4 linked regions of the Yarrowia lipolytica genome follow. The protein of the gene in region 1 interacts with the protein of each later gene in a pairwise test. Links are inferred from orthologs where the notes say so. Each region holds a gene or a part of one and is shown in the gene's direction. Other genes may lie near its edges. The genes, in order: YALI1_E11341g, YALI1_B24638g, YALI1_E26788g and YALI1_B25762g.

Region 1 (7,431 bases):
AGGAGAATGTGGTGATGTAAGAAAAGAGGTAGGTTGGCCTGCAGAAGTTAGTGAACAATAGGGTTATTATGGGGAGACAGAGGAGATGGACAGGGGGAGAAAAACGGGTGATTGGTACGAATATTTACATGTTGATGTCATTCTGATGAAAATTCTTCGATAGAGAAGACAGAACCAAAAAGATCCATGTCAATTCGAATCTGGAAATGTTGGAGCCGTTCAAGTCCAAAACAGACAACCTCGAGAGTACGAGTCATGTTTAGATCGGATCGGGCAGAGAATTGCGATGAAATGTCTGGATAGTATTGATGAATTAATGTACGGTGACTGTTCTCTCTCAATCAATACTGCTAAGAGTGATCCATACAGTACGTTCTATTTAGGGGATCTCTAGTACGGTAGGGAGAGTATCGTTGAGATCACACAAGTCGTATACTGACACACACCATGGACACCTACGCTGCAGTACTTCGAATTCTGCGACCAGTAAAATGGCACTATTCCACCTCACATCCACACTTATCAAACTACAGTAATTGCTCGTTGTTATGCAATATACAGTACATTTCATTAATCTATCTGGTCGTGTTTCACTCGGCTCTTGCTAAATAACCTCACCTCGCTGGATTCGGTCTCTGAGCTCTCGGATACTTCTCTGGTGCTCGGGGGCCAGGGCGTTGATATCGGCTTCACTGAGAGCCATCACCTGCTGAATAAGAGCAGCATTGCCAGCCACAGGATCGGGTGTGGACTGGGCAGGAGCAGATGGGGGGTTGCCGCCAGCAATGAGGGCAGGGTTGCCTCTGACAACACTCAACACCCGCTGTTCGTCCACCAGACCCAGGTTCAAAAGACATTGGACAGCAGCGTAAGCCAACTGGGGCGCCTGAGCAAACAAGTCCGCCAGGAGCTGAGGCGAGTTTTTGCTCATGCTCATCAGGTCTGTCACCACGGCAACCATCTGGCTCTTTGTGTACCCGTTCATAGTCTCGGACACCTGCTGAGCAGGTTCCAGACCCTGCCGAAGAGGAACTCCCGCTGGCAGGCCAGGACGTCCGTTTTTAGACACATTGGGGTTGGGAAATCGGTTCTGAGACGCAAAGAACTCTCGGACTTGTCCCTCATGAGAATGATCCACTCGCAATTGTCTCGAGCCCACCTGAAATCCATTCAGGTTTCTAATAGCCGATCGGGCAGTGTCTGCATCGGGGTATTCTGCGAATCCGTAGCCCTTTGAACGGCCGGTTTCTTTATCGAACATGAGCTTTAGGGAAATGACCGGTCCCACAGATTTGAAAATGTCCAGCATTTGCTCCTCTGTCTGATCGTAGGGAATAGATCCAACGTAAACTACTCGATCGGTCATTGTGAAGTAGTGAGTGTGCTGATGGTGACTTTGCGGGTGGGTGCTTGGGTGCAGTCACGAGATGTGTCACGAGGTTTTCTGGATGTCTGACTAAGATGTCGGCTGGGTAACTCGATTGGAAATGCAGGTGATCGAGAATCGGAGAACGTGGGGGGAGTCGGGCACTTGACAAGACGACGACTGTGTGGCTGGTGGGTCGGTCACGTACTGTTCAAGTCGGAACAACTGATGATTTTATGTCTGTGACAAGTTTGCGACGTTGAATAAGTAGGTGGGCGTATAAGCACGTTGGCAAACGGCGTGTTGAGTCACGTGGTGGAAATGCAAGGAGTAGTAGGGTCGAAATACAGTCACGTGGTGGGTTTCCGTGTGACAATCGAAGACTGGTGTTGATGTTCAAGGTGGAAGTTTCAGCGGTAGATGAGTAGACTGAAATGTATGCAGATTGGAACTTTGTTGTGATGAAAGTTTGGAGCAAGTGGAACTTGGAGAAGAAGAGAAGAAGAGGAGAGAAGCTGATGATTCGAAGTCAAGTGGCTTCTGTGTGGTTGAAGATAGTTCTGGAGTGTTTATATCAAATTTTCAGAGTAATTTTATCAAAAATGAGGATTCTAATGTGACGTTGTTGTTGCTAACAAGGAACCTTGTTTCGAGTGCTGGCAGCATGGGTGGGGGAGTTATATAAGGGCGAATAATGTGTGTGTTGGTATGGAAATAAGTGTTTTGGTTGATTTATTTGGCAATTTGGGACTGTTTAATTGTGTTGTTGAAGTATCAGAACTCTGCACTCGAAGTTGAGTATTTTATATTTTCCCTTATCCATGATATGATGTTTACTTGAGACAGTGCGAGGACGACTGCAGTATGTACTGTACAGTACTGAACTGTACTTGTACTAAGTACTCGTAAGTAATTTAGTTGGGATGGCAAAGTACATGGCTTCCGAAGGACATGGCAACGCTTGAGGATACACTGAGTACTTAAAGGTGGAGTAGTGCGGTCAAATTTCGAATCAGAACTCGCTCAGATGATGTTTTTTGTTGTTGGTTTTTTAGAAACGTTTTTCTTTGGTTTTTTGGAGACGTTTTTTTGTTGGTTTTTTGGAAACGTTTGTCTGTCGACTTGAAGCTCAGTTGACATGCGTTGCCGGTTTAGACTGTGCAACGCAACAGCAGCACCCGGAGATATATCGACAAGATAACTTTCGAAGCTTGTCGTCAGACTCATTTGCTCACGTGACACACACTCCTTTGCTCATTAGGCCGTCGTCAATACGCCCAGGACTCTCCTGACAGTGATCAACAACTTATCTGCGCCAAAGATCTACAAGTCTCACCTGAGTTCGCTCATAACCTGTACTGTAGGTTAAGTCCGTTTAAATTGATTACGCCGATGTACCCAAGTACCGGTAGTCCTACAAGATAGGGCGTCCAGTAGCAAGTGTGAAGTCTGCGCATGCTGAGAGCTACCCAGGGTAATTATGGGGTCGTCGTACCCACCGCACGCCCTTACAATCCACAAACAGGCTCTTAACCTGAAAATGCCGGATATATACGTCTCTGGCCCAATCTCCAACCACCTCCAACCACCTCCACCATAGTAATATCACCGTGCATATTGCTGTGCCAAAATTTCGTCTCGGGCAAAAATAAAGTTTCACATTGGAAGCAGTCTCACGCGAACAATTCAGCACTCGGTCGAGACATCATCTCTGTAAAGTCATCATCACATCACTACCATCATGGGACTCAGTGTTGCGGAAATCAAAAAGCTGATGGCTGACCTGGAAAAGGCCAGCGGCGAGGCGGTATACGACATTCTGCAGGTGTTGCACAAGGAGGTGGAGCCTACGGAGAAGCTGCTGCGAGAGACCAAGCTGGGTATTGCCGTCAACAAGCTGCGAACCTCCAGCGACAGCCGGATCTCGGACCTGGTCAAGAAGATGATCAAGTCGTGGAAGGACACGGTGACGGCCCAGAAGAGAGACGCGTCCAAGAAGGTAGAGGGCAAGAAGGAGACCAAGGAGGAGAGCCGACCGGTCAAGTCCAGCTCTGCGTCTTCTGGTAACGCCACTTCGTATACGCCTCCTTCGGGCCAACGAACCCCGGCCAAGGACGGTGTGTCTACAGAAATCTACTCGGACAAGGTGCGAAACCGGTGCATCGATGTAACCTACACTGCGCTGGCTGTCGGCATGACTGCGCACCCCAATGAGGTGCTCGCCTGCGCCAAGGCCATTGAGAATGAGGTGTACAAGATGGAGAACGGCACCGGCGGCAACTACCGCCCCAAGATGCGATCTCTGTACATCAACCTCAAGGACCCAAAGAACCCCGGTCTGCGAGGCAACGTCATTTCGGGCAAAATTTCGGCCGAACGACTGTGCCGAATGTCGCCCCAGGAAATGGCGTCCGACGAGCTCAAGAAGGAGATTGAGGAGATGGAGAAGCAGAACCTGTTTGCTGCTCGAGGAGCCACGGAACAGAGAGCCGTGACGGACCGATTCACATGCGGCAAGTGCAAGCAGAAGAAGGTCAGTTACTACCAGATGCAGACGAGATCTGCAGATGAGCCGTTGACCACGTTTTGCACGTGCGAGAACTGTGGTACGAGGTGGAAATTCTCCTAAGCTGCCGTTGGTGGCGATGACGTGGGTCGCCTGTGCCATGGGGGAGTGGACGGAGGAGTGTGTCCATATTGGAGTGCTTTTGGAGTGCTAGACAGAAGAGCTATGTCTGTGACTGGCTATCTTCGCAATCGAGTTCTGTGAATTCGCAAAAGGGGAGTGTATATAGTTAGATAGGTTATGTATTGTTAGGTGTTAGGATACACTGATTGGAGGTTGAGTGTTTTACCAGTGGCAGTGTGTGTAATAGTTTCAGATGGTCTACCTGTATATTTGTGCTCTGGCACGCGATATTCACTACAACTACCGTATGTACTCTGTAACACAAACAAATACCGCATTTGATGGACAGTATCCTGTTGTACTTGTGCTGGTTGATGAGTGGAAAACACCCAACTATTAGTTGATTATGAAATACAATTTAGTTAAAAAGTAGTTGAGATTAGGAGGCGTATCAAGAACTACTGGAGCTTGGGGTTGGTCAAAAATGTATTGTTTTGAGAGAGTTATAAAACGTCTACATAGTACTGATAATACTCTAGAGGATCCCTGGGGTTCGATTGTAGATGATCGGAAACCCATTAGCAACCACCACAGTTGGGGTCACCGCACTTGGGGCAGTGCTTCTTCTGGGTAGGAGTAGGAGCACAGGGCTTGGCATCGATGGCGATGGTACCGGTGATGGTGGTGTAGTGGGTGGTGATAATAGTGGTGGACTTGGGGCACTCCTTCTGGGGGCACTTCTTGGAGTGGATCTTATCCTTGAACTGGTGGATGTCCTCGGGGGATTCAGCCTGGTCGTTCATGGGGGCGGCGACGGCAAGAGCGGCCATGGAGAGGAGGGCGAGGTTCTTGATCTGCATTGTAGTGGGTGTGAAGAATACTTGTTTGATGGAGAGTAAAGAGGGTCTGGGGGTGGTTTATATAGGGCCTGGGAAAATTTGGACATTCCTTAGAGTCATAGCGACTGTCTTGTATCGATTAAAGCGATACGACCTGCTCACCTTGACGGCATAAAGTAGCTGCTTGAGATGAGATGAGTGCGGAGTTTGGATGTTGGAGAGTGTCAGATAGTGTATAGATTGGTTTGAAACAGTTTCAGGGTCACCCAAGCCCTTGTATTTGGGAGTGTGTATGTCTTCATCTGGTTATCTCGTTTCTCATCTTGAGTTCAATGGGGGCGGTCGAGTATCGCCCGTCCCACACGACACGAAGGAGGAAGAGTGTCGCAGAGTTGAGCAAATAGCTCTATACATTCAGATTCATCTGAGGTGAAAAATTATAGGTAATTCAGTAAGGTGCAAGATCTCTTAGCAATAGAGAAGTTGGTCTACTATGTACATGCTGCTGCTAATGTCCAACAAATACACCTATCTAGTGTTTGTCAGAAGGAATTGAAACTATTCGAATCAATTTATACAACTAATAGGACATCATATAGCTCTTCAGAAACTCCCTGACATTTTCCAAGTCTTTCTGAGACCTCTACTGGCTATACTATGGGTCGAATCAATATCAGTGTCGGCATAAAGTAGCATGTACTTGCCATTTCCGAATACTTATAGACATTGAACTACGGATCAGATTCCCGATGCTGCTAAGTATTCATTCAGATTGCTATTATAGACTGTGCGGCATATAGTAGACGTGGTATGGTGGGTATTGCAGCCTTGGTGAGACTGGACACACTGTAGGCAAGTATTAGTCATATAGAGTGAAACAGGATCAAGAGAAGTTGCAATATAGTGACAGGGGTAAGATATCCGTTGACATGATTGTTTACTAGAATCTTTTGTTCAACTGGTTTATTTCAACTATCTGTATGTCTCTCCGATATCTTTAACAAATATACACTTCTCTTTCAACTAACTGAACAACAATCATTGCTCAACTCTCTACGACACTCTTAAACACGCGGAGAATAACTGCAATTCACTCACAACCGTCTCCTTCTACCTCTCCATACTCAATAAAACAATATTAATTACCCTCTCACCGATAGTCACATCCAGGACACATTTTATCAACTCTGCCATTTCCCCCAATCGCAACATCATGCAGGGAGCTGCACCTAATTTACACCTTCAACCTTGGGTGAGCAACTCAATCACAACGTTCCCACAATCACCACCACCACCCCACAGCGGTCGATCATCAGCCCGAAAAAAAGACATGCTCCGAATATCACGTGACACCAAAATCGTCGCGCGTGTCACTCACGTGACTAAATCCCGTACCTACGCCACCTCGACTGCTCCCAAGCTGGTTGTCGGCCTCGAGATCCACACACAGCTGCTCACCAAACGAAAACTGTTTTCTTCCACCACAGTACCTTCGTTGTCAACCACGCCCAACACAAAAGTCAGCTACTTCGACGCAGCTCTTCCCGGAACACAGCCGCGATTGAATCCCCAGGCTCTGCTTCTGGCGCTCAAGGCGGCCATTGCTCTGAGATGTGATGTCAAGGAGCTCACTGCCTTCGACCGAAAGCATTACTTCTACCCGGACCAGCCCGCAGGCTACCAGATCACTCAACATCGAAAGCCGCTCGCCATCAACGGAAAGCTGAAGCTCAATTGGTGGGATCTGTACAGTCAGAATGAATGGCCTGCCCTACTCGCTAAGGAGGCCAACACTGACTCAGCAGACACACGCGATCTGGCATCTCGATCTATCGACGTTCCTATTCTTCAGATTCAGCTTGAGCAGGATACTGGAAAGTCCACTTACCACGGATCAGAGACCCTGGTGGATCTCAACCGAACTAACATGCCTCTTATCGAAATTGTCACAGCGCCCGTCATTCATACCGCCTCGCATGCCGCTGCCTTTGTCAAAAAGCTCCAGACCCTGCTAAAACGCATTGGTGTGTCCACTGGAGAATTTGAGTCAGGTGCCATGAGAGTGGATGTCAACGTGTCCATTGGAGAAGACGGAGAGCGGTGCGAGATCAAAAACCTGCCCAACACCTCTTCCATCGAAGCCGCCATTGAGGCCGAGTACAACCGACAAGTAGAACTGGTAGGCAAGGGAGGAACTGTGGAGAAGTCGACCATGGGTTTCGATGGCAAGAAGACATTCATTCTTCGATCCAAGGAGAACGCTGTCGATTACAGATACATGCCTGACCCCGAACTGCCGCTGATCCGACTCAGTAAGGGTACTTTGTTGAAGGTTAGAGACAGTCTCCCCGAGCTGCCTGACAAGGTCTTCTCTAGACTGACAGATGATCCCTACTACGTGACCACCAAGGACGCCCTTACGCTGATTCACGTGGCTGGCCTGTCTGACTACTACTTTGAGGTCTTTGAGCGAGTGAGCGAGGAGACTGAGGATGCCAAGGCTCTCAAGCAGCCTGTCAACTGGGTGGTTAACGAGCTTCTTGGACGAGTTCGAAAGGCCGATGAGGCTCGTGCTGCCGAGTCTGCCGAGTCTGGGG
Region 2 (7,719 bases), on another chromosome or scaffold:
CGTCTCTTTGCCTCAATGAGGCAGTCCCTGATCCAATGGCGGTGGGGCACGGGGTTTTTCATGCCGCACAGCTCCCTGTAGTCAGGCACCAGGGCCACTATCTTGTCTAGAAGCTTCTTGACAATAATGGTAGCAGTGTGCATGTCGAGTGAGGCGACCTTGGTGGTCTTGGAAAACACAAATATCACTCCCTCCTCCAGATCATGGTAACGCTTCTTTGCGACTCCCCTATCAGGTCTCTGCTTGTCAAGCCAATTCCTTGCCTTCCTCTTGACTTCCTTCCTGGCATCGGAGGGTTTTTTAGGCAAACGCACGTTGATCGAGAGGGCATATTCGCGGAGCTGCTCGCCGACTTGCTGTTGAGTGAGCCCCCCAGCGCGGCGGTATCCCTCCAATTCTTCGTACTTCTCCGCAACACACCTTAGGTCGTCCACTCGTTTCGGAGGGGTCAGGTCGGGCTGTGGATTGCTGATCTGTTCTCGGTAGTCGCTGACAACCCTATGGACCTTCTCGGGCCCAACACGAATCTCTGGTTGGTCAGGAACAACTTCCAACTCCGCGTGGTCTGGGTCGATGTCGTCGTCGGGCTCGATATCCTCTCCTTCGTCGTCACAGTCTGAGATGTCGTCATTGAAACACTCGAGAGGAACCCCTTGTAGAGGAGCACCAGGAGCATCTTGCTGCTCGCTTGGTGGCCTTGCAGGCATCATTGTTAGGACTCAGTTTCGTGGTTGGCGCGTTAGTGGAGTTCACGGTCACTCACTTTTTACACTATAGATTTACAGTATCGGACACAAACCCATGGACACAAATGCATGACCATCAGGACATTCTGCACTCCCGAACTCTAAATGATTTTGAGTTTGACAGTAGAAACCTGGACAAGCTCACTGCAGTAATAGTGTGGGATTTGTGGGTTGTTCTGGTAACACAGAACCTGGTGGGGTGAAGTCGTCACAGCAACACAAGTCTTACCCTACAGTGAGACATCTGGTAGTCTTCTCATATTCTATAGAGTTTAATGTATTATGTTATTATAAAAATTAAAAAAAACGGTACCTGAACAACCGAGGTATCTGAAGACAACATCTCCGCTTCACCTGTAGACCACTACACATGTTCAGAAAGGGTGCAGAAAGAACTCACACTTCCAGTAGCGAATCTCGTGCAAGATACGGTGGTACCCAAGATGGGTTTGGTCTTCGAATCTAGCAAGAAGATGTCTAGCAGACTCGGTGGAGGTCTCATTCGGGTACTCATTGACATAAGTCCACACAATCATGGTTTCGGCAGGTGTCATTGTGAGTATTTGTACCGTACGTATCGTACCAGTAGCTCGTCTAGTTTCTGTTTGTTTTTATTGAGAAACAAGAGTCTGGAAGGTCGATTATATGTAACACTTCAGTTGGCCCCATATGACCGCCATTGGTTGGCCTCAAAACATCAACTTGGTCTCTATTGTAGAGGTGGAGATGCACTATTAAAATATGTGAGGCTGATTTGACCTTGAGGCTGTTGTAAATGGAATACTGAAGGGAGGGGAACAGACGGTTAAGGATATCAAATAATGATGGAGAAGAGAGTGCTAATCTTGTGAGGATGCTTCTGTGTTGTGGACATGCTGACTTCTCAAGAAGTGGCCCGCCAATGAAAATCTCATTCACCATCGTCTTGTGTTTCTTCCCTTTCAAAAGCCCTGTTGGTTTTTTTCGACCTTACTCTGGACTCTTCCTCGTGGCTGCAGATTCATAGAATACTTCATTCGTTGTTAAATTACCTACAATTGTAGTACATTGATAAATAGGTCGAGCGTCAAAGTACAGTTGCTGGCAAAGATCTAGTTCTCACAATCCACTGTCTTCCATGAGCCATAATGTTCTTAAAGGGCAGGCTCAAACCGAACAGTTGTAAGAGTACTCATCCGTAAACTGCAAGAACATACACCCAGCGTGAACGTAAACTGTCATAGTTTTAGCCCTCCAGTTGCTACCCAGTCACATTATTCCGCACCTCTTGTGCCTTACACAAGCTGATCATAGAGGTACGACTGCTTGTAGACATCCTCTGTCTCTCCCTGTTTGGTCTCGAGAATCTTCTTCACCACAGCTGGGGGATTGAGTCCCAGCTTGTTGGCTCTCTCCCACCGTTCCAGCCGGGTCAGACCGACAACAGGCCCGAAGTCGACGGTAAAGTCAAAGTTCTTGAGAATCTTTTCGCAGTTGTTGACCTCTTCGGGATGCACGGGTGGTGCAATGCTCTTTTCGGCGATCTTGTGGGCCTCGTCCGAGTACACCTTTTCACTGGGATCCAATTCCGGCAGAGAATTGATCTTTTCAGCCTCCTCCCTGACCAGCTCGTCACAGATGGTGGTTTCAATCGACTCTATCTGTACTGGCGGTTTGACGTCCTTGGTCTTGATATCATTGTGTTGCTGCTGCTGCTGCTTGACGACCTTGAAATCCCGCTTGATGCTGGGCTTGGTGCTCTTGAAGCTCAGCGACGCCTGTTTTGCAGATTTCGGAGCCATGGTGGTGTGTGTATGTAGGTTGAAGATGGGCGGAGTGGAGTCTTATCAACGTCAATTATGTCACACTTGCGAAACCTTACATGAGGAAGTGGAGTTTCGAACTGGGCCATAGAATGCTCAAATGAGGAGTCAAGCTGGATATTTTTTTGACAATATAAAAAGGATTCCATTCTATAAAATGTATAATGTCAAATATAGAGTAGAATACTTTTTATTCGGGTTTATAAAGACATCAAAATCAGATTACATAATCACAACCCAAACTTGATTCCACTGTCAATTTTGAAGAATATTCCCTCGACGAGAATTACAGAAGTAAATTATATCAGTCGAAAGCCCTGAGTTAGCTGATTCCAAAGAAATACTTCATTTCCCTCTAAATCACCGCAATATCCTTCTAGACGCTGCGTATTTCATCTGATCTATGTATTTGGGACCTTCCTATTTGGGAAGAGCCGTTCAACAATGTGTGGTTGTTTTGTGTCTCGATAGTTACATAAGTGGGGAGTGTGAAACGGCTACTCGTACTAATAGAAAGAATAGAGAGATGAATAGAGTATGATCAAATTGAATTATATTTCAATCGCCTGAAAATTCCATACTATTGTCCATAATGGCCCCAATATTATTGATATACAGAATCTAACAACACTAGTAGATTCTGCTCATCAATAGCTATCTATTGACATACAATAATACCATATTATATATCTATAAATCTCTATTATACCCACCATAGTATTTCTCTACGGGGGATATCAGGTTCAACTTCATTCAACTCCCGAGTGCGTAACCTTAGTCCAAAGCGCTCTCCATCATAGATTATGACCAACTTTTTTCACGTACATATTTTTTTAGGGACCTATATTATTAAGGAGATCTTGATTTTGCGCACATTTCTGTGCCATCCGTTTTCCCTACACATTTCTCCCTCCCGAGTTATTCGCCGGGGGGATTTTTTTCGTCCGGGTTTAGCTCATCACCGCGAAGATTCCGTGAGTCAGGGCCGAGTGAAAATAGGAGGCAAAAAAAAAGACAAAACAACCGGAACGTGTGTAAACAACGTGAAAGCATGGTGGAAGCGGATGAGCGGCGGGGATAGGGCCGCGTGAGCGATTTGTCATGCGATCTAGGGCCGACTTTTGGGGGGGCTGTGTCTTTGTGCTACTTGTATTGCTCGGGTTGGTCGCTTGTATCGTGTGCTTCACACATTTGGTATGACCGCCGCAGTGGGTGTATAGGTTACGTAGTGTATCTCCCGGTTGCTGTGAAAGTGTTGAGGGTCATATGATACAGGGGAGCAGATGGCGGCACAGGAGTGTGCCTACGTGCCAGTATTTGATGACGTCATAGCTGGTCACGAGCCCTTAGCATACCCCTCCATGACCGACTGTCGCTATCATCGATATGTCATCTACCCCACATCCCTCGGGAGGTTTTTTTAACTCACGGATAAAGTTTCGAAACTGTTGGTCTGAAAAAATGTGGAGTCTAATTTGGAGATTAGCCGTTGGTACATAAGCCCTTGCACAGTAGTCCAAAAGTCGTTCAACCACGTTCCGAAAAGCGCCCGAAAGCACGCCAGCACACAAATGTCTCTTTTGCGCACTCTGAGGCCCGTTCTGGGCTCGGCCCGGCCTGTCACACCAGTTTTGGCCCGGTCCTACTCGGCCCATCACTCTCCTCAGACATCAGATCAAACTCGAAAAAAGGTCACTATTCCCGAGTTGGCCAAGATGCGACGAAACAAGGAGAAGATCAGCATGGTAACGGCCCATGATTACGTGACCGGTCTGATCGCTGACAAAGCCGGTGTTGATATGATTCTGGTCGGAGACTCCTTGGCCATGGTGGCTCTGGGGTACCCCAACACCAACCAAATCGAGCTCGAGGAAATGGTGTATCATGCTAAGGCTGTTTCTCGAGGTGTTAAGAGCGCGTTTATGGTTGCAGACCTGCCTTTTGGTTCGTATGAAGAGTCCCCAGAGAAAGCTATCCGATCTGCTATTCAGATGATCCAAAAGGGAGGAATGGAGGCTGTCAAGATGGAAGGAGGCAAGGAACTGGCGCCCACTATCAAGCGACTGACCGAGGTGGGAATCCCTGTTCTGGGACATATCGGACTCACCCCCCAGCGTCAGTCGTCGTTGGGAGGATTCAGAGTGCAGGGTAAGACTGCCTCTGGAGCAGAGAGTATTCTGGAAGACGCGTATGAACTGCAGAAGGCTGGATGTTTTGCTATTGTGCTTGAAGCAGTTCCCGACAAGGTTGGAGAATGGCTCAGTTCGAAGCTAGAGGTCCCTACCATCGGTATTGGTGCTGGACCCGGAACCTCCGGGCAGGTGCTGGTCATGCTCGATATGCTGGGAGGATTTGGAAGCTTCACGCCCAAGTTTCTCAAAAAGTACTCGCAGTTTCTTGATATTAATGTTGGAGCTGTCAAGCAGTACCATGAGGAGGTCAAGGGTGGAGTGTTCCCTGCCCAGGAGCATTGTTATAAGATGGGTGATGAGGAAGCGGCTAAACTGAAATAACGAGCGAGCCGATTATATGATAGGTGAGTGAGTGGTTGTCCACGGTCAGCTGCTCACTGCCCCCCAGGATGATGTATATATATTAATGACGATACGATAGTTTAGGAGTTGGTTGGCGTAAAGTAGACTAGAGTTGCCTGTTCTTCTGTTAGTAATTAAAAGGTCGTACAAGGTCGTACTACTGTACCTGGAGAAGATATACCTGGAGAAAATATGGTCTCTTGTGAAGGATCAGTTTAGTTGTTGTTTTTCGCAAAGAGCTCGACATTGACCTGGTGCAACCAAGGGGAGGGTTAAGGCTACGGAAGACATCCGGAGGACTCGGTAATGAGTCGATTAAGCTAAACAACGGGTCTTCTGAGGTTCTGAAAGACTCCTTAAAGAAGTCCATGGGTCCAATACTGTAAAAGAAGGACACTCAGGATCAACCTCAAAACAAACACCAGAACAGACACCAGAATAGAAAACAAAAACAGAATCGGCTTTTATTATTGTGACAGGGAGAGGTAGTGGAGAAACTGTTACCTAGATGATTGTGGGGTGCGTGTGGAATACGTATGGTGTCTATAGGACGACATCAAAAACGTATGATCTTCATATCATAATACTTGTATACTTGTATCAAAACACTCGATTGAACTACAGACCTGTTAGTACAATACTCTTGAGACATTTCGGACACTCTTTTGGGTAATTCTCATCAACATTAAACATCATTCAGTTATCATCTATAAGTTATCTTCTATCTATCCTCTAAGGCGGTTGACTTACTAGTATGAGTACAGTGTACTGTAGTCAAGTTCCTCTTGAATCAAATCACGGGCAATACACGCGACTTCTCTCACAACCCTTCAAGTAAGCTCGCTCTTCATCTAAAAAGTAGCGCTTTGCCCTCTCTAATCTCCTCAGGAGGATGGCTTCCACCCTTGCCGTCACCGGTATCGAATACCAGTGTCTGTCCAAACTTGGGAGCCAGAACCGAGTTGCCGACCCCAGCGTCCTCAGCAATCTTGTGCAGCGAGTCTCGGGGTTCTGTGAACTTCTCGTCACTGAGAATGAACGTTCCCCAGTGCACACCGACCATATTCTTGGCCTCCAGATCCTTCATTACGTTAACGGCCTCCTGGGGGTCAATGTGTTGACTCTTGAGATGCCATCTGGGCTTGTAAGCGCCACAGGGCAGCATGGCAAGCTTGCACCCGGGTCCGTATTCCTCCTTGATTCCTCGGAACAGCTCTGGTGAGTATCCAGTATCTCCTGCGTGGAAAAAGTGGGGTTTTCCGTCCTTCATGACCATAAAAGAGCCCCAGAGAGTCGAGTTGGCGTCGTACATCTTTCGGCCACTCCAGTGCATGGCTGGAGTGCATGCCACGGTCCATTTCTCGCCCAGTTCCTGCGATTTCGGGGTTTCGAGACCCATGGTTTCCCACCAGTTGAGCTCGGCAACGTTGTAGACGCCGTATTTAGCCAGAAATTTCTTCACACCCAGAGGCACGACCCACAGAGCTGAGTTTCCAATCTTCTTCACGGTGTCCACCTCCAGATGGTCGGGATGGTCATGTGACACCAAAACAATGTCGACCTTGGGCAGGTCTTCAAACTGACAGGGGGCCTTCGAAAGTCGCTGGGGGCCCATCCACGATGTGACCAGATGGTCACCAAAGAAAGGATCGGTGAGAATGTTGAGTCCTCCAAGCTGCACAAACGCACAGGACTGTCCGATCCAGGTGAGGGTGATTCGATCCTGCGGTTTGGGAATGAAAGACTTGGGCTTCCAGGGGATCAGAGCAGAGACCTGCTTGACGGGCTCGGATAGCAGCTGGAAGTCGGGGGTCACACTGGGGAGCAGCTTCTTGAGCTCTTTGGGGTCCTTGGGGAGACCTCCTCGGGGAGTCAAGTGGAATAGGTTGACAATGTTGCAGTACACAAACTCGAAAAGAGTCTGGTGTCGGTATTGGCTGAAGGGATTGACAAACTTGCCTCCGACAACCATGGGTCGAAACTGCACAGAAGGAGGGATACCGTCTCGAAGAGAAACGTTGGAGCTGAGTCCAAAGTCGGTGGATTTCAGTTTCTTGTCCAGCCGATCGTTGATTTCGTAATGGGTGCGTAAATGCACATACGTTGAGTACGCTGTGTACGCGACAACAAGGCCGAGACCCGTTTTCGCCTTGATTCCGAGTTTCATGTGTGTGGTGAAAGAAATCCTGGTGGTAAATTTTGGGAGTGCATCTACGCTGCACGTGTGGGAGTAACGGTACTGAGTGGTCCAGACGTCATGAGAGGGTAGTGAGTAATAGCGCGTCGGATGGGGTTGGAAAAAAAGGGGGTAGTGAGGGAAATTTCAGATAGAGATAATGTAATTTTACCAATAATTTTCGGTATTTGGTATCTGGCTTACCCTGCGCTTTCTTCACATTCTCGTCTCGCTGATCTCCATAGTGACTGTAGCTACGAGTAGTGGAGTAATAATGGACAAACCCAAACAAGGTGGTTCTCTCCGCTCAATGCTACCATCTCCATCAATAATATAGTCAGAATCAATCAGATTACTCCGTCGGAATCCTGGCGCGAAAATGGACACACCTGTCTCCTAAGAAGTAGGACAGACCTCTTGGTGGTCTTTCTGTACAGCCCATCGTAACCTACACCTTACGC
Region 3 (7,124 bases), about 1.5 Mb from region 1:
AAGGCCAGGCAGCTTGGAGTTCATCTTCATGTAGATGGACTCGGAGGGCTGGATTCGGATGACGAGCTCATTTCGAGGCAGATGGTCCACAACGCCCTTGGTCACGTCTCGGAACTGCACTCGGATCTCGACCTTGCCCTCGTCCAGAGCCTTACCGGCTCGGAGGATGAAAGGAACACCCTCCCATCTGTCGTTGTGGATCTGGAGATGGAGAGCAGCAAAGGTCACAGCTCGGGAGTCATCGGGAACGCCATCGTCATCGGTGTATCCGGGCTTCTTTCCGTCTTCAGAGGGGCCGTACTGGCCGAGAATGACGTCGTCAATGTTGAGAATGTCGACACATCGGAGCACCTTGACCTTCTCATCTCGAATGTCCTCGGCGCCGAAAGTGACGGGTCGCTCCATGGCTAGAATGGACAGAACCTGCAACAGATGGTTCTGAATAACGTCTCGGATGATTCCAATGTCGTTGAAGTATCCACCTCGGCCCTCAGTGCCAAAGGGCTCCTTGAAGGAGATCTGGACGTTGGAAATGGTGTTCTTGTCCCACACGGCGGACAGGAACTGGTTGCCAAATCGCAGAATGTTGAGGTTCTTGACCATCTCCTTTCCGAGGTAGTGGTCGATTCGGAAGATCTCAGACTCCTTCCAGAGAGGAGCAAGGCCGTCCTGGAGCTCTCGTGACGAGGCCAGGTCGTGGCCAAAGGGCTTCTCGATGATGATTCGGGCCTTGCCCTCGCCGGGGTAGACATACTTCTTCAGACCGTTGGCAGCCTCAAGGAAGACGCTGGGGGGCAGAGCCAGGTAGAAAAGACGGTAGTGGGGCTCGGGCTTCTTCTTCTCAAACTCCTCAATCTTTTCATTCAGTCGCTGGTAGCCCTCGGCACCGTCGTAAGGGCCCTGGACGTAGCAGGTGTTCTCAAGGAACTTCTTGGCCTGCTCCTTGGACTGGTCGTCGGGGGTCTTGAAGTAGTGGCTGATTCGCTCGTGGTACTCCTCCTGAGTCATTTTCGACCGTGCGTAGCCGATGATTTCAACATTTTTGGGCAGCAGGCCGTTTCGGTAAAGGCCGAAGAGGGCGGGGAACTGGGGTTAGCTTTTGAAGACGGGTTGATATCAGGTTTCTGACATTTTTGAATTGAGTTTTGGGCACACTTGCTAGACGCCTTATTCGGAGCAGAAGTCTGTTGGGACTTGCTGCTGTTTTTCCGCTTTTATTGCTCGGATAGAGTGGGAGAGCGTAAAGACCACCTGTGCAAGGAACACGGTGGAATAAGCTGTGCCTTGCCACGGAACAATTGACTCTCACATACGCACGCACATCTGGGTGTCATGGTGATGGCGGTGTATGGTGGCAAAAGTTGGGGGTTCTGGGCTCAACAAGTCAACAAGTCAACGACTCGGCTAGCCAAGACCCATTGGGGCTCTCAACGAGTCAATTGAGTGGTCCAGAGCACAATCAGGTCCGTCGAATGTTCTCAGACTCTCCTACTCTTCAATTGACCTCAGTCTGGTTCAATACTCACGGTCTTCTTCTTAGCGAGGTCGCCGGAGGCTCCAAGAACCACAATGGTGGTTCCGTCGCCGAACTTGGGTAAGGTGCCAGTCATGGTGATGTATGTATGGTGAGTGTCTTGTGAGTGTGTATGTGTGTGTGTGTGTGGAGTGTGTGAGGATGCCTGGGCAAAAAAAAAAAGATTGGTGTTATATCGGTCCTTGGGGGTGCAGCAACCTTGGATATATATGCAGAGGGTGGTAAAAAACGCTTTCCTTTGTTAGCACGTCAGGGTAGTTTGGCAACGTTGGCACCCGAACTCTAAGCAGTGTGAAAGAGAAGCTGGACGGAGGGGGGTTGTTACTAACTAGTTGCACGTGTGCTACTGAGCTGTGGGAGGTTGAGGGTTACATTGGGGGTTGAGGGGACTTGGGAGGGGGGAAATGTGCTAAGAGAATGGCCCACCAGCGTGACTGGTGAACTATCGCACCCACAGTACGATACCTCGCCCGCCCCTCTTCCACCTAGGTTTCAAACCATTAAACTCGGCTCTGTTGCTGTGCTATGAAATAATGTAGCGGTCCAGACGTAGGGCTTATGCACGGGGCTGACTCACGTCACACAACAGAGTGCGACTATCTGATGGCGAAGAGGGGCTTGTCTGTCAATGAGTCAGTGGTTGTGGCGGGCAATACCGGCATTTGACGAAAACAACCGGCGCGACAAGGCGAGCCGAAACAACAAACATGAAATAAAGTCTACAAGTACCCCACAAAAAAGGCGACCGACCATGTTGCAATTGCTCAGTCTTTCTCGGTTGTACGATACAATAGACTCGCACACTCTACGTACAATACTGTATCTTGTGGCCGTTCTGCTCGCTCCTGCTGCTGTACTCTGGCACACCTCGACCCCCCACTGCCTTAGTAATACTCCGATAAGCTCATACATTAGCTGGTCTGTAGTGTTACCCACCGAGAACAGACAGACTGACTGGCCATGTACGAGCTCAGCCATTAGTGTAGCTCTGACTGCGGGCGATAATACCAGCCATTGACGGCCTCGAACCAACACTCGGTGCTCTCCTCCTGATCACCGCAGCCACTCCCCGGCATTCCAATATGCCCCTTTTGGCAGATTAACACGCATCCCCACAACCGAGGCTCCAGCCGCATGAACCTAGTCATACTTGCCACTCTATTTGGGCCAGCATGAAAGTTGGCGCTACTGCCAGTGCGACGCTTTGTAGGGACTGACGGGAGTAGCGGCGGGCTATTGCGTCATGTCGCTCAGATATGACAAGCCACAAAGTCAAGCCACACGCCATAATAAGCCCCATTGCGCCACCGTGCCACGGAGCCTAACTCCCCCGGCCTTTTGTTGAGCCTCTTTCGCCACGAGCTACTGCTCGACAGATGGGCCATTGGGGCGCCCACATACGTCTCCTTGGTACGACAACGTCAAACTTCAGCCGCCAGAGCGTGGCGCATGGGGAGAATGGAGGGCACGCAGTGATTCGATGTCGGGTCTCGTTATCAGATCTGACTAAGCAGCGATCGGCAGAGCGGATTCGGTCACCGATATTACCACCACCCATGCAGAACCGAGCAACCGACACCGATATTTTTGCTACACGTGTGCCCAATATGGTACAATAAATGCGGTACTTGTAAGAAAATTGTTGACCTGACGTCATATTGTCCCATTGTCAACAGCGACTATTGCGAGTACGAGTAGTACGAGCGATGAGGAGCATGTGGGAAGACGCCTAGAGAAGAGATATGTGCATTCCATAAACGGTCCCGGATATATAAAGCCTTGTTGGTACCGGCACTTGTACGTACCACTCATTTTCCTGTTCGTACGATACTTATTTACTTGCGCCCAACCTTTCCACGTCCCGCACTTTCACCGACACAGCACTCTTGCAGACCCCCCTATTCAGACTGCAATAAGGCCTCCGAAGATGATCTCTGTCCCTTATTTATGATTAGAGTGGAACGTACCTAATTTGAAGAGGATCATTAGGAGGATCCGACCACTTCAGTGTAGGAAGCGGTGCAGACGCTCCAGACTTTCCAGTTCCGTTCTGCCGAGTTTTCTGAGTCTACGACTGCTTTTATTTTCCAAAAACACCAACCACAGCACTTGGAAAAGACACATGCCCAAAGCCCCCCCCCCCCCACACCCGTCTAAAGACAACAACCACAGCATAATCGGCCAGCCATAATACCTCTTGATAATACCCGTATCGGGGTATAGTGGGACCTAAAAGATAGATGGACACCCCAGCTCCAACCATATATATAATCCGTGGTGCAGTATCAGGCCCTTGATCATCTCCGCATTTACCCCGTACAGCCGTGCATCAATACACACATATTAAACACATTCAACAGGCACACATCCAAACCGGCACTTCTCCAATAGGCGCCCCCTTTCCTTCGGTACGACTTGTTGAAATGCCCTCGATCCTCATCATCAACCCCAATTCGTCGCAGTCCGTGACCCACGGACTCAAGGACATTCTTGACCCGCCCCACGACTTCACCTTCAAGTTTTTCACCTGTCCTTCCACCGGCCCAGACTCCATCAACGACTACACCACAGGCACCTTGTCGGCAGCAGCATGTCTTCCAGCTTTACTTCCAGTGCTCGACCAGCACGATGGATTCCTGGTGGCGTGTTTTTCCGACCATGCGCTCGTCAACATTCTTCGTGAACACACGAATCGGCCAGTTATGGGCATCTTCCAGGCCGCCATTCTGCACTCTCTCAGTCTCAATATGAGCGTGGGACTGCCAGATACAGGCAAGTTTGCCATTGTCACAACCGGCAGTCAGTGGGAACCTGTACTGGATCAGGCTGTGGGCCGTTACGTGCCTGCAAACACCTTTGTGGGCACATTTGGCACCGGGCTGGGAGTGCTGGAACTGCATCAGGCTGACACCTCGCTGGTCAACGAGAGAATCGCACAGGCCACCCTGGCGGCTCTAGACAAGGGGGCCACGGTCATCTGTCTGGGGTGCGCTGGTATGGCAGGCATGGAGGACGTGATCAGCTCGGTGGCTCCCCATGTCAAGGTTGTGGATGGAGTGGTTGCAGGCTGCGAGATTCTCGTTGGTCTCGTGAGAACCTACTATGATTAGCCGCAGTTCGGAGCTACGAAAACTACCCTGGTAGCAAAAAACAAAAACAAAAAACAAGTACTATTTATGCCTTAATATCAAGTGAAACAGCAGGCAGCAAGCAATATATCAGTAATCAGAAAAATAGTGACACATGTGTTTCACGCACTTGTACGAGTAGGTACCTGTATTACAACTTAGACCAGCCTAACCTCATTGAGAAGAAAGAGTGGAGATCTCAACACTATCGAGCCTCTAATATGAATAATTAATTTAGTCTATGCAATATTCTTTTTGAGCTGGTTCAACTTGAAAAGAGCTCCAATGAGAGTCGATTCAATCTGCTCAATTTCTCTGGCAGTCACACCTTCGAGTTCACTTAGGTGGTCAACAGCCTGATCGGTTTGAAGTGCCAGATCATCCAACCCTCCAACACACCGGCCAACCTCCACGTCTCGTATCTGAGACTCGACTTTGACAAGCTCCTGCAGACGAGGAGAAGATCTTCTAAGTGGCGAGGACTTGACTGGTGAAGCTGACAGTCGTCTGGACTTGTTGCGCCGAGGACCATCTTCAAACTCCAGCGAATCTGTTCTTCGTTTAGTGGGAGACATGTTGGGAGATACAGAGGGACTGGCGTCGCTCCTAGATGATGACTTTCGGCCTGCTCGTGTGGGCTTCTCAAGTTTCTGGCCGTGATAGAACACCTCCTGGCGAGTAGACACGAACTTGAAGAGCAGCATATTCATGACGGATTCGTCCAGAACGATCTGGGTGTCGTTGCCAAGCAACTCGTTCCAAAACGCAACCAAGGGAGCCTGTTTCTTCTTTAGTTCATCCTGGTACTCCTCGAACCAAGATGGGAAGATCTGGGTGACAAGCAGGTCCAAATACACTTTTGTTGTTAACATGGGCCCGTTCCGTAGCTTCCGCACAATGCTATCGCACAGAAACTTCCTGTGCTGTTCCGGAGTAGTTGAAATGGCCTGGATCACGACAGGCGCAAATCTGTAGAAGAAACAGGGCATGGAATGGTCTGGTAGAGTGTTCAGACACGTTCTGACGGCGTTGACAATCTCCGGTGTCGCCAGCTTGGAAGAAACTGCACCCAGATGCATGAAGTCCTTGGGAATGTCGGTTGTGAGAGATCGGAACATGGGTGAAGAAGTTCCTCGAGGCTTCTTGTCGATCAGCTCAATACCGAGAAGACATACCTGGGGCTGTAGCGACTCATCAATGATCTGCAGAAGAGGTTCAATGAGCACTTCCTGAGTAGACCCAAGGAAGGCATCCTTCCGAATCATCTCTGTAGCCGATTTGAGAATGGAAAACCATGTGTCCGGGTACGCAGGTCTGTTGGGGGAAGCCAGAATGGTGTAGATCCCCTTGGGAGACAGATTAGACATCTCCGGACCGTTGATATCTTCCCCGGTGTGGTCCAGAACAATCTTGTAAAGCGACTCGTGCCTGTGGGCGACCTTGGCTATGCTCTGGGTGAACTGGAACCGTCGAGCAGCGGTAGACAGCTGTGAATAGATATACTGGAGGTACTTCTTCGCCTCGGAGGGGATCTCTTCGGCGTCCACAAGTGTCTCGAACATGTATGCTGCGGGCGTAGTACCTTCAATGACCTTATCGATGCAGTGCGGAAGCCCTGCCACCGCGAAAACCGAGCTATAGAAAGCTTTATGGTCCAGAGGAGTCTTAGAGGTCATGTGACGATGTAGTTTGCAGGCTGACATGACAAAGCCAGACGTTTCCGGGCTGGGATGGATTTCCCTGGCGGCAGAGTGCGAGATGTTGTTCACCAGTGCCGACCAGACGGCCAGAAAACTGGGCCCAGAAGTATCCAAGGGAATTGTTTTGACAACGTCGATGATTTTGTCGTAGTTGGCCTTGACCCATCTGGGCGACAAAGATGTGAGGAGCTGACGAATGCTGGTGCTGAAAACTGGCTCTCTGTCCTTCTGGACCTTTTGGTCGTATCTCAAGAGGCACGCCAAAGAGGCACAGGCCACGTTGGCCAGAGAAGTATTGGCGCTCATAATTGCAAGAGTGGGTCGAATATAGGAGTCCCAGAGCAGTGAGTTTGCCTTCAGAGTCAACTGATTTGTTTCAAGAGGAACCAAAAGTGTGTTGAGTGTTTGGTTGAACAGAGAGAGGCACTGCTGATCCACCAGCTGGCTTCCAGTCTGGCCTAAGCTCTGGATGCACAGCAGCAGCGTATTGCCTGATCTGGTAGCAAGTGCTTGCAGACCGACAGGGTACTTGACCAAATGCTTCCGTGTGTGTGTGTGAACAACGTATCTACATGCCTTAAGAAGAGCGACATTGACAACAGACGCAGTTGCAGGCACGTTCATCCATTGAGGAAGCATGTTCCAACTATGGATGGATGACTCGGCGTCCATGGGAGCCATGAGCAGGGTCAGCCCCCAGAGCTCGTAAAGGGGGTCCTCTGCCGGACAGTCAGCCGCCGCCTGAAGAATCGTTTCGGCAAG
Region 4 (7,414 bases), on another chromosome or scaffold:
TTTCTCTCCCCATTGCAGTAGCAGCATGATGATAGGGCCCACATCATTTAGAGCCGGTTTTGAAGGGAAAATACCTCCAAAGCATCTAGCCGCTTCCAATCTGGTCTCGTCGCTAGTCTTGTCGTCATCTCCAGATGATAGGTTTGCAGACAAAGACAGTAGCTCCCTTGCTAAGGTCTGATTCATGTCCAGATTCCACACTTTTGAGATCAGAATGTCGATGATAGCCAGAATACATTCTCGAATGCCGTCGCGGAGGTCTAAAATGTCTGTTATTCCTTGTAGAAGATGCATGATGGGGAAAAATGTGTAATCGGCGAGGTTCTTGGACCAAATCAGGTCTTGTTGCTGTAGGAACGCCCTTAGGTCCTTGAGGCGAGTGTAGATGGCATCTTGCTTCTGTAGTCGTTGTTTTGGCGGTAACAGAACTTCCTTGGATAGCGCCACTGTGAGTGGTTGTAGTTGGCTGAATTGCTGTTTCCGTAGCGCCTCGTCCATGGTCAATAAATAATTTAATTGGTTATCGATTGTAATGCTTGCATGTCAGATTGAATTCAAACCCCGGTTAGGGTTGCAGCATGGGTGTCCCAAAGAGCTTTGTTGTTAGGCATAGTGAAGAAAGTCAAAGTGGGAGTGTGGCCCTGACTCTATACTCCACAGTTGCAAGACATACATACACTCTCCCCCACGATCCTTGGCACTCTCTTTTTCTCACTCTCTTTTTTTTGTCCTCCTATTAACCAAAAAAAAAAAAAAAAAAACCTCTTTCTTTCGCCAGCTAATGCCATGGGATACGACCAGCTTCCCGTGAGTGTTCCCGATCGACAACCTCCCCCGTACTCCTCTCCATTTTCCCTAACACAGCACTTTCCCACTCCCCAGGAGACCTTCAGCTCGGTCCCACAACCCCCACCTTCGTATAGACACGGACCTCCGCCACCGCAACAACAGAGACAGCAGATGTACACCGGCTACAACAATCCCCGTGGCGGTAACGACGACCTTCCCCATTTCCCCACCCCTGGGGAGACTTTCTCGGACGCTCCCCCTCCACCTCCCCAGCAGCAGCAGTATGGACGGCCTCCTCCTGGCGGCCCCAACCGTCATCAGGCTCCCAGAAAGCCCTCGGGCGGCAGCCATAGCAACCAGGGCCACAACAACAGCTACAATAACAACTCCAACTACAACAACAACTACAACCAGGGAGGGTCAGGAGGTTCGAGCGGTGGCCCTGGCGGCTACAACAACAACTTTGCCCCTCCACCACCACCTCAAGGACAGCCGCTACGACCCAGCCCACGGTCTCACAACCAGCAGCTGCAACAGCCTCCGCCCATGCATCAGGCCGGAGGACCCAGCGGAAATAACAGACCTCCTCCCAGTCGCCACAACAACAGCAACAGCAACAGCGGTGGCACAAAGCCAGGAACACAGTCGCCTATTCCATACGCTCCTTTACCTGATGTGAATCTCAAGATGCTGTTCAACGGCGTGGACAAGAACAACAATGGCCGGCTTTCGGAAAAGGAGCTGGGCAACGCTCTTGTCAACGGGGACTTTACAAAGTTCAATATGGAGACGGTGAGAGTCATGATCAAGATGTTCGACCGGTCCGGCAATGGAACCATCGAATTCAAGGAGTTTTGCAACCTGTGGCGTTACTTGGGCGACTGGCGCAAGCTGTTTGACAAGTTTGATCTGGACAAGAGCGGATCCATCTCGTACGACGAGTACGTGCGAGCCCTGGAGGCATTTGGATACCGTCTGTCTAACAGTTTCATCCAGTTCATGTACAGCAAGTACTCAGACTTCAACAGCTCTGGTGAGCGAGTCATTGGCTTTGACTTGTTTGTCCAGAGCTGTATTTCGCTAAAAAGGATGACAGACTCGTTTGTCCAGTATGACACGGATCACACGGGCTACGTCAACCTGTCTTTTGAGCAGTTTCTGATGGAAATAATGAAACTCAAGTAACTAAAGCAATGTATATTAGGTGGTTTTTACGGTCTTCTGTTGTGCCTGTATTTCTGAATGCTCCCCCCTGTCATATTCCATTTTTACTGGCAAGTGGGGTGGGGAAATTGAGTTAGGTTGCGAGGTACGATGTAAGCGAATCTGCATGACAACTTTGATTGTGTGAGAGAGACATGGCGACGATTTGAATGTATATATCCGTCCTCTTTCAGCCGTCTGTCCGACCTTGCTTTACCTCTAGTTATATATATATTTTTTCTCCATTAGCTTGCGTCTCTTTTTTTTTCCCGCCAAAGATCGACGCTAGTTGTCTCCCCAATTTAGAGCCGTTTGTTTGGACATCCAAGCAGCGAATGTCCCAATTCCACTGTGGATGTGCTGCAACCATATCAGATGATTGTAAATTCTATGGGTATCAGAGTTCGCGGGCACTTTGTGCACGAGTGAGGGGTCGTAGAAGGGGCGCGTTTGGGTGTGAAAAATAGATATTCGGGCAGTGTTGTTTCGGTAGCACTTTTCGCCGTCTCTCTAAGTCCACCCAATCGCCTACAATAGCTCTCTTTTTAGGTCTCGTGATAACCTACTTAAGCTAATAAGAATTAGGAACCGTTGATCAAAGGTTGGTCAGTGGGTCCCAGAGTGTCCTCCACAGTCTGTGCTGTGGTTTTTTTACGAGGACCATGAGGTCACGTGCGGGCCACTAGAAGGAAATCAAATGATTTCATCTAACTCATGGTCCTGTGACTCTACGTCTGGTTCCTCATCGGTCTCATATTTGCAGTTGCTATGAGCGTTTCCCGGGCGCAAGTCAGGTTCGCAAAAGTTTCTATTTTAAGATCCACGGAGCCCAACGTTCGACTTGCAGTTGTGTATGTTGAATAACGTATATGGTGGAGTGTGGTACGAGTTGTACTACAAGTAGTAACTGGTGTTTGGGGGGTTACAGTCAAGAGGTCGCGTTCTCATGTGAAAGTCACGTGACTGTTTTGGATCTCGACACTACAATATCCGAGTGTTTCTATCCACAAGTATGAATTCTCACGTGTTTTATGTTCTACAGTCTTCTGTTGTCACAATAGCCGCACGCATGTTCCAGAAATAGATTGTGTATGTACCGTACGAGTTGCGCGAGATAGTGTACGATGAGGACAGGTGTCGACTTTATACGACTCGTCACCCGTCGCACAGGTACGGTAGGCTACGCCTTGTTTTACTACTTCATCCCAATGTACAGATGTGTACAGTTATCGTAAAAAACCACATACCCGTACATGCTGTAACGACAAATATTACCACGTCAACATGTACGCACCAGTATGTATTACAGGTATGTACAATCGTTTCATAATATGAGAAGTTTGAACCTCTGATAGCATCGTAATAACGCATAGATAAGTGCGCTCTATACCACATACCGGGGCAAGGTTATCACGTGACTCTTCCAGGTGAGTGTATGTATCACGTGTTTCACGTGACTTTCTACTGTCGTGCACCTCGCTCACACGACCTCGGCTGCATCTCTGACAGACTAATCGCATCTCATTGTCCAGCCAAACAGAGTTTTGGACCTTCCCCCTCTCTTTGTTCTAGACACCCCTTAGAGTCTTCTCACCGCCCACTTACCCTACCGAACCATGTGCGTCGACCTTCTTCTGTCCAGTCTGCAACTTTCATTTTCCACGTAACCACCGACGATATTCAACATGTCTCAAATCATTGATCAGGTTCAGGCCGCTCTTCAGAACATTGACAAGGAGCTCGAGAAGTACCCTGCTCTCAAGGAGCTGGAGAAGCAGATTCGTGAGTATTGCAATCAATGCGATCTTTGTGATCGGATTGGAACGTGTTAGCAGTGTTACATGTTACACAGACAGCTGCGATGAGCAGCTGATAACCGACAGGAGTGCACAGAAACAATTCAGATAATTTCCCATTACTCCCCAAAACTGCTGTTATGCAAAGACAGGTGCAACTGTCAATAGTGCCTGTGATTAGTTTCATGTGATCACCACAGTGCCTCCCCAACCACAACTAACAATAGCCGTCCCCAAGTCCTACATCCTGCTTGGCTTCGTTGGATTCTACTTCATCCTCATCTTCCTCAACATTGGAGGAATTGGTCAGCTTCTGTCCAACATTGCTGGTCTGGTCATCCCCGGCTACTACTCTCTGCTGGCTCTGGAGACCCCCGGCAAGGCCGATGACACTCAGTACCTGACCTACTGGGTTGTCTTCGCCACCCTCAACGTCTTTGAGTTCTGGTCCAAGGCCATCCTTTACTGGGTGCCCTTCTACTACCTCTTCAAGACCGCCTTCCTTCTGTACATTGGTCTCCCCCAGTACGGAGGTGCCGAGCTTGTCTACAAGGCCATTGTCAAGCCCCTCGCTCAGAAGCTTGTCAACATCCAGCCTCACGGCGGACCTTCCGACTCTCTCAAGGCCCAGGCCCAGTCTGCTGTCGATGCTGCTGAGAGCCACGTCCCCCAGGGTCACTCCACTGGTGTTTCTCACTAAGCCGAAATAGCCAAAGGATTATAGACTGGTATGTCGTAGAGCTGAAGCATTTTAGGGCTGAGAAGCCATTGTAGCTGAGAATATGTACAGTACATGGTCACAAGTGCAACTAAAGTACATACTGTAATGTCGATAGGTAGATAGAGCCCAATTGCGATTGTAGCCGCGGAATAAGCACTTGCTACAAGTGCTCTTAGTATGTACATAATTAACGGGTGTACTGGTTCATTAAACGATTTTAAACAGTATGCTGTTGCCAGGACTACCTGTAGCATCAGTGGGTTATTCAAGATCCTCTGAGCGAGTTGTTTTGTATCAATAGCTACTATATGAGTGTTACATAGTACGTACCAGTGCTTCAAGTACAGCCCCTAGTGATTCCTACTGTACTTTGATTCGTTCACTTCTTTTTTCTTATTGGGTGTAACAGGCACGCTTGGTACTCTCGCTGGACAGTTTAATACGCACAGGGTCCCGCAAGTGGGCAATGACATCAGTGGATCCCTACTTCTATGATCGATTAATTTCTTTATTACAGTCGCTGGCCTTTGCATTGCTCGGGCTCGCTCTCTTATGTACATTTAAGCCTTAATAGCCTTGGGTTCTCGGAAAATGTCTCCCTTGTCGTGCATGGACTGGATGACAACTCGCTCATCAGACATGTCAGGGTCGGGCAGAGGGATATCAATGGGGGACTCGAACACGGTTCCGGCCAGCAGGCACTTGGCGGGCGAGTACGTGTTGTCGTAGACACAGCCAATGTACTCGGTGGACTTCTTAGTGGTGGTCTTGACCTCATCAGATCGTCGCTGGGACCGAAGAATTTTCTGGGTCATGTCAAATCGATAGATGATGAGAGTGATACCAGGGGCGTGGTTGGGCAGGGGCAGGTAGGTGAAGTTGACCACCTTGGGGACCTTGGAAAACTCAATGGGGCCGTACTGGAACTTGACGTCGTCGGGGAGAGTCTTGGATCGCTCGACAAGAGCCTTCTTGACCCAGGTGTTCATCTTGTCATCAACAGACTCAAGCTCTCGAGCAGCAAAGGCCTTGTTGACGGCAATGTAGTTGAGAATAGCGTCGTTCTTCCACTCTGTGAAACGGGGCTTCTTCTTGGTCTTGAGACGGTACTGTGCCACGTTGAATGTGTTAACAACAAAGGCGTACATTCGTCGGTAGAAGTGCTTCACCAGACCCTTTGGGTTGGTCCAGGGGGCATGGGACAGGGGGATAATGGGCTCATTCATGATACCAATGTGCTTGAGCTCAAGACGCTGGCTCTTGGAGGCGTTGTTTGATGCAAATCGCACGGGGGCGTATGTGGCTCGCAGGTGGCCGGCCATGTTGAACGGCCGGACCACCAGCCGTCTGGAGGCCATATTATGGATCATTTGTGTGGATGGTAATTAAAGCGAGCCTCGAGGATTATGTATGATCTGAAAATATGTCGGTTGGGACTTGTAGGTTCGATTCCTGTGTGTGGTGGATTGATGGTCGTGAAAAAGCAACACGTGTCGTTGAGAGTGGAGTGTTTGTATTGGTGTTGATAACCAATGACTTAGAATGGAAATGACATCTTCCCTTGTAGATTACATGTCGTACCCATGGTACAACTACTTTTACTATCATTTATACTCGCCGATCCCTCATTACAGCTACAAGTACCGATACAAGCAACCAGGATATTCACACTATGAGAGGTACAACGGTGGCATATAGGGAGGTGGAGAGGTGATAATATATAGTGAAAACACTACAAATACTGCTACAGTCGACCCAGAGGCTCCCATATCACTCCATATCGATATACCAGAAGAAAAGTCACGTGATGCCACCACTTACATTCCTACCAACATCCATTCACACCCCCAGTCTCATTAAACCTCGGCCCTATGACTTGGTCACGTCACGTTCAGTTTGAGTTTAGCGGGGTGATGATAAATCTCTGGCACTCTACACACGACAGACTTGTCTTTTACCATGCTTCAGTCGCTCAACCGAAACAAGAAACGGCTGGCCGTGTCGACCGGCCTCATCGCCGTGGCCTACGTGGTCATAAGCTATACCACAAAGCGGCTCATCGAGAAGCAGGAACAGAAGCTCGAAGAGGAGCGTGCTAAGGAGAGGTGAGTACACAAACACAGAGGAGCTAGGGGCACGACAGACAGAAGAATGGACACAAGCGAAACAGAGATGTGGCTAATGACATGACCAGAAGTGGTTGCCAAACGAAACGTGTTCGCAGCTTGTGTATCGGCCCCACTTACGCCATATCATTACTTCATGCATATATTGGTGTGTTATGTGGGGTATACCAGTACTAACACAGACTCAAACAACTGTTTGCACAGACACAGAATGAGGCAGCGTTCCATACGGCGTCAGTGCTTCCCCAGCTATGCGAACAAATCATGGAGTTTGTGGCTGTCGAGAAGATCGCCGAACAGCTCCAGAACATGCGTGCGGAGAAGCGCAAGAAACAGAACATGGACGACGACAAGCACTCGGTGCTGTCGCTAGGCACAGAGACGACGGCCAGCATGGCAGACGGCCAGAAAATGAGCAAGATTCAGCTGTGGGACGAGCTCAAGATTGAGTCGCTCACCCGAATCGTCACTCTCATTTACTGCGTGTCTCTGCTCAACTACCTCATCCGACTGCAGACGAACATTGTGGGACGAAAGCGATACCAGAACGAGGCTGGACCTGCGGGAGCCACATACGACATGTCACTGGAACAATGTTACACGTGGCTGCTCACCCGAGGATGGAAGTCGGTGGTGGATAATGTGCGACGGTCAGTTCAACAGGTTTTTACTGGCGTCAACCCGCGGCAGAACCTGTCTCTTGACGAGTTTGCTACTCTTCTCAAGCGTGTACAGACTCTCGTCAACTCCCCACCCTACTCCACCACCCCTAATACGTT

What was found.
Region 2: the proteins of YALI1_E11341g (region 1) and YALI1_B24638g interact in a two-hybrid assay, tested with the Schizosaccharomyces pombe proteins (2 studies listed by BioGRID, with this or other methods). The link is inferred for Yarrowia lipolytica from reciprocal best matches to the Schizosaccharomyces pombe genes tfs1 and ecm31.
Region 3: the proteins of YALI1_E11341g (region 1) and YALI1_E26788g interact in a two-hybrid assay, tested with the Schizosaccharomyces pombe proteins (2 studies listed by BioGRID, with this or other methods). The link is inferred for Yarrowia lipolytica from reciprocal best matches to the Schizosaccharomyces pombe genes tfs1 and SPOM_SPAC1F7.10.
Region 4: the proteins of YALI1_E11341g (region 1) and YALI1_B25762g interact in a two-hybrid assay, tested with the Schizosaccharomyces pombe proteins (2 studies listed by BioGRID, with this or other methods). The link is inferred for Yarrowia lipolytica from reciprocal best matches to the Schizosaccharomyces pombe genes tfs1 and yop1.

The regions. Positions count from the first base shown.
Region 1 is NC_090774.1:1,130,967-1,138,397, forward strand, and holds YALI1_E11341g (uncharacterized protein), read left to right. Parts: upstream 1-3,107; coding exon 3,108-3,995; downstream 3,996-7,431. Other genes in the region: YALI1_E11323g (uncharacterized protein), read right to left, coding at 605-1,366; YALI1_E11351g (uncharacterized protein), read right to left, coding at 4,096-4,130, 4,582-4,855; YALI1_E11370g (uncharacterized protein), read left to right, coding at 6,048-7,431. UniProt on the Schizosaccharomyces pombe protein: Necessary for efficient RNA polymerase II transcription elongation past template-encoded arresting sites.
Region 2 is NC_090771.1:2,460,199-2,467,917, reverse strand, and holds YALI1_B24638g (uncharacterized protein), read left to right. Parts: upstream 1-4,119; coding exon 4,120-5,061; downstream 5,062-7,719. Other genes in the region: YALI1_B24672g (uncharacterized protein), read right to left, coding at 1-710; YALI1_B24654g (uncharacterized protein), read right to left, coding at 2,021-2,527; YALI1_B24606g (uncharacterized protein), read right to left, coding at 5,930-7,249.
Region 3 is NC_090774.1:2,675,649-2,682,772, reverse strand, and holds YALI1_E26788g (uncharacterized protein), read left to right. Parts: upstream 1-3,957; coding exon 3,958-4,644; downstream 4,645-7,124. Other genes in the region: YALI1_E26811g (uncharacterized protein), read right to left, coding at 1-1,086, 1,527-1,610; YALI1_E26790g (uncharacterized protein), read right to left, coding at 3,486-3,596, 3,639-3,797; YALI1_E26742g (uncharacterized protein), read right to left, coding at 4,902-7,124.
Region 4 is NC_090771.1:2,572,860-2,580,273, reverse strand, and holds YALI1_B25762g (uncharacterized protein), read left to right. Parts: upstream 1-3,677; coding exon 3,678-3,774; intron 3,775-4,015; coding exon 4,016-4,488; downstream 4,489-7,414. Other genes in the region: YALI1_B25798g (uncharacterized protein), read right to left, coding at 1-498; YALI1_B25795g (uncharacterized protein), read left to right, coding at 787-1,974; YALI1_B25744g (uncharacterized protein), read right to left, coding at 5,070-5,879; YALI1_B25734g (uncharacterized protein), read left to right, coding at 6,469-6,614, 6,818-7,414. UniProt on the Schizosaccharomyces pombe protein: Required to generate and maintain the structure of the tubular endoplasmic reticulum network and the vacuole. Induces high curvature in membranes and causes membrane tubule formation. Involved in membrane/vesicle trafficking.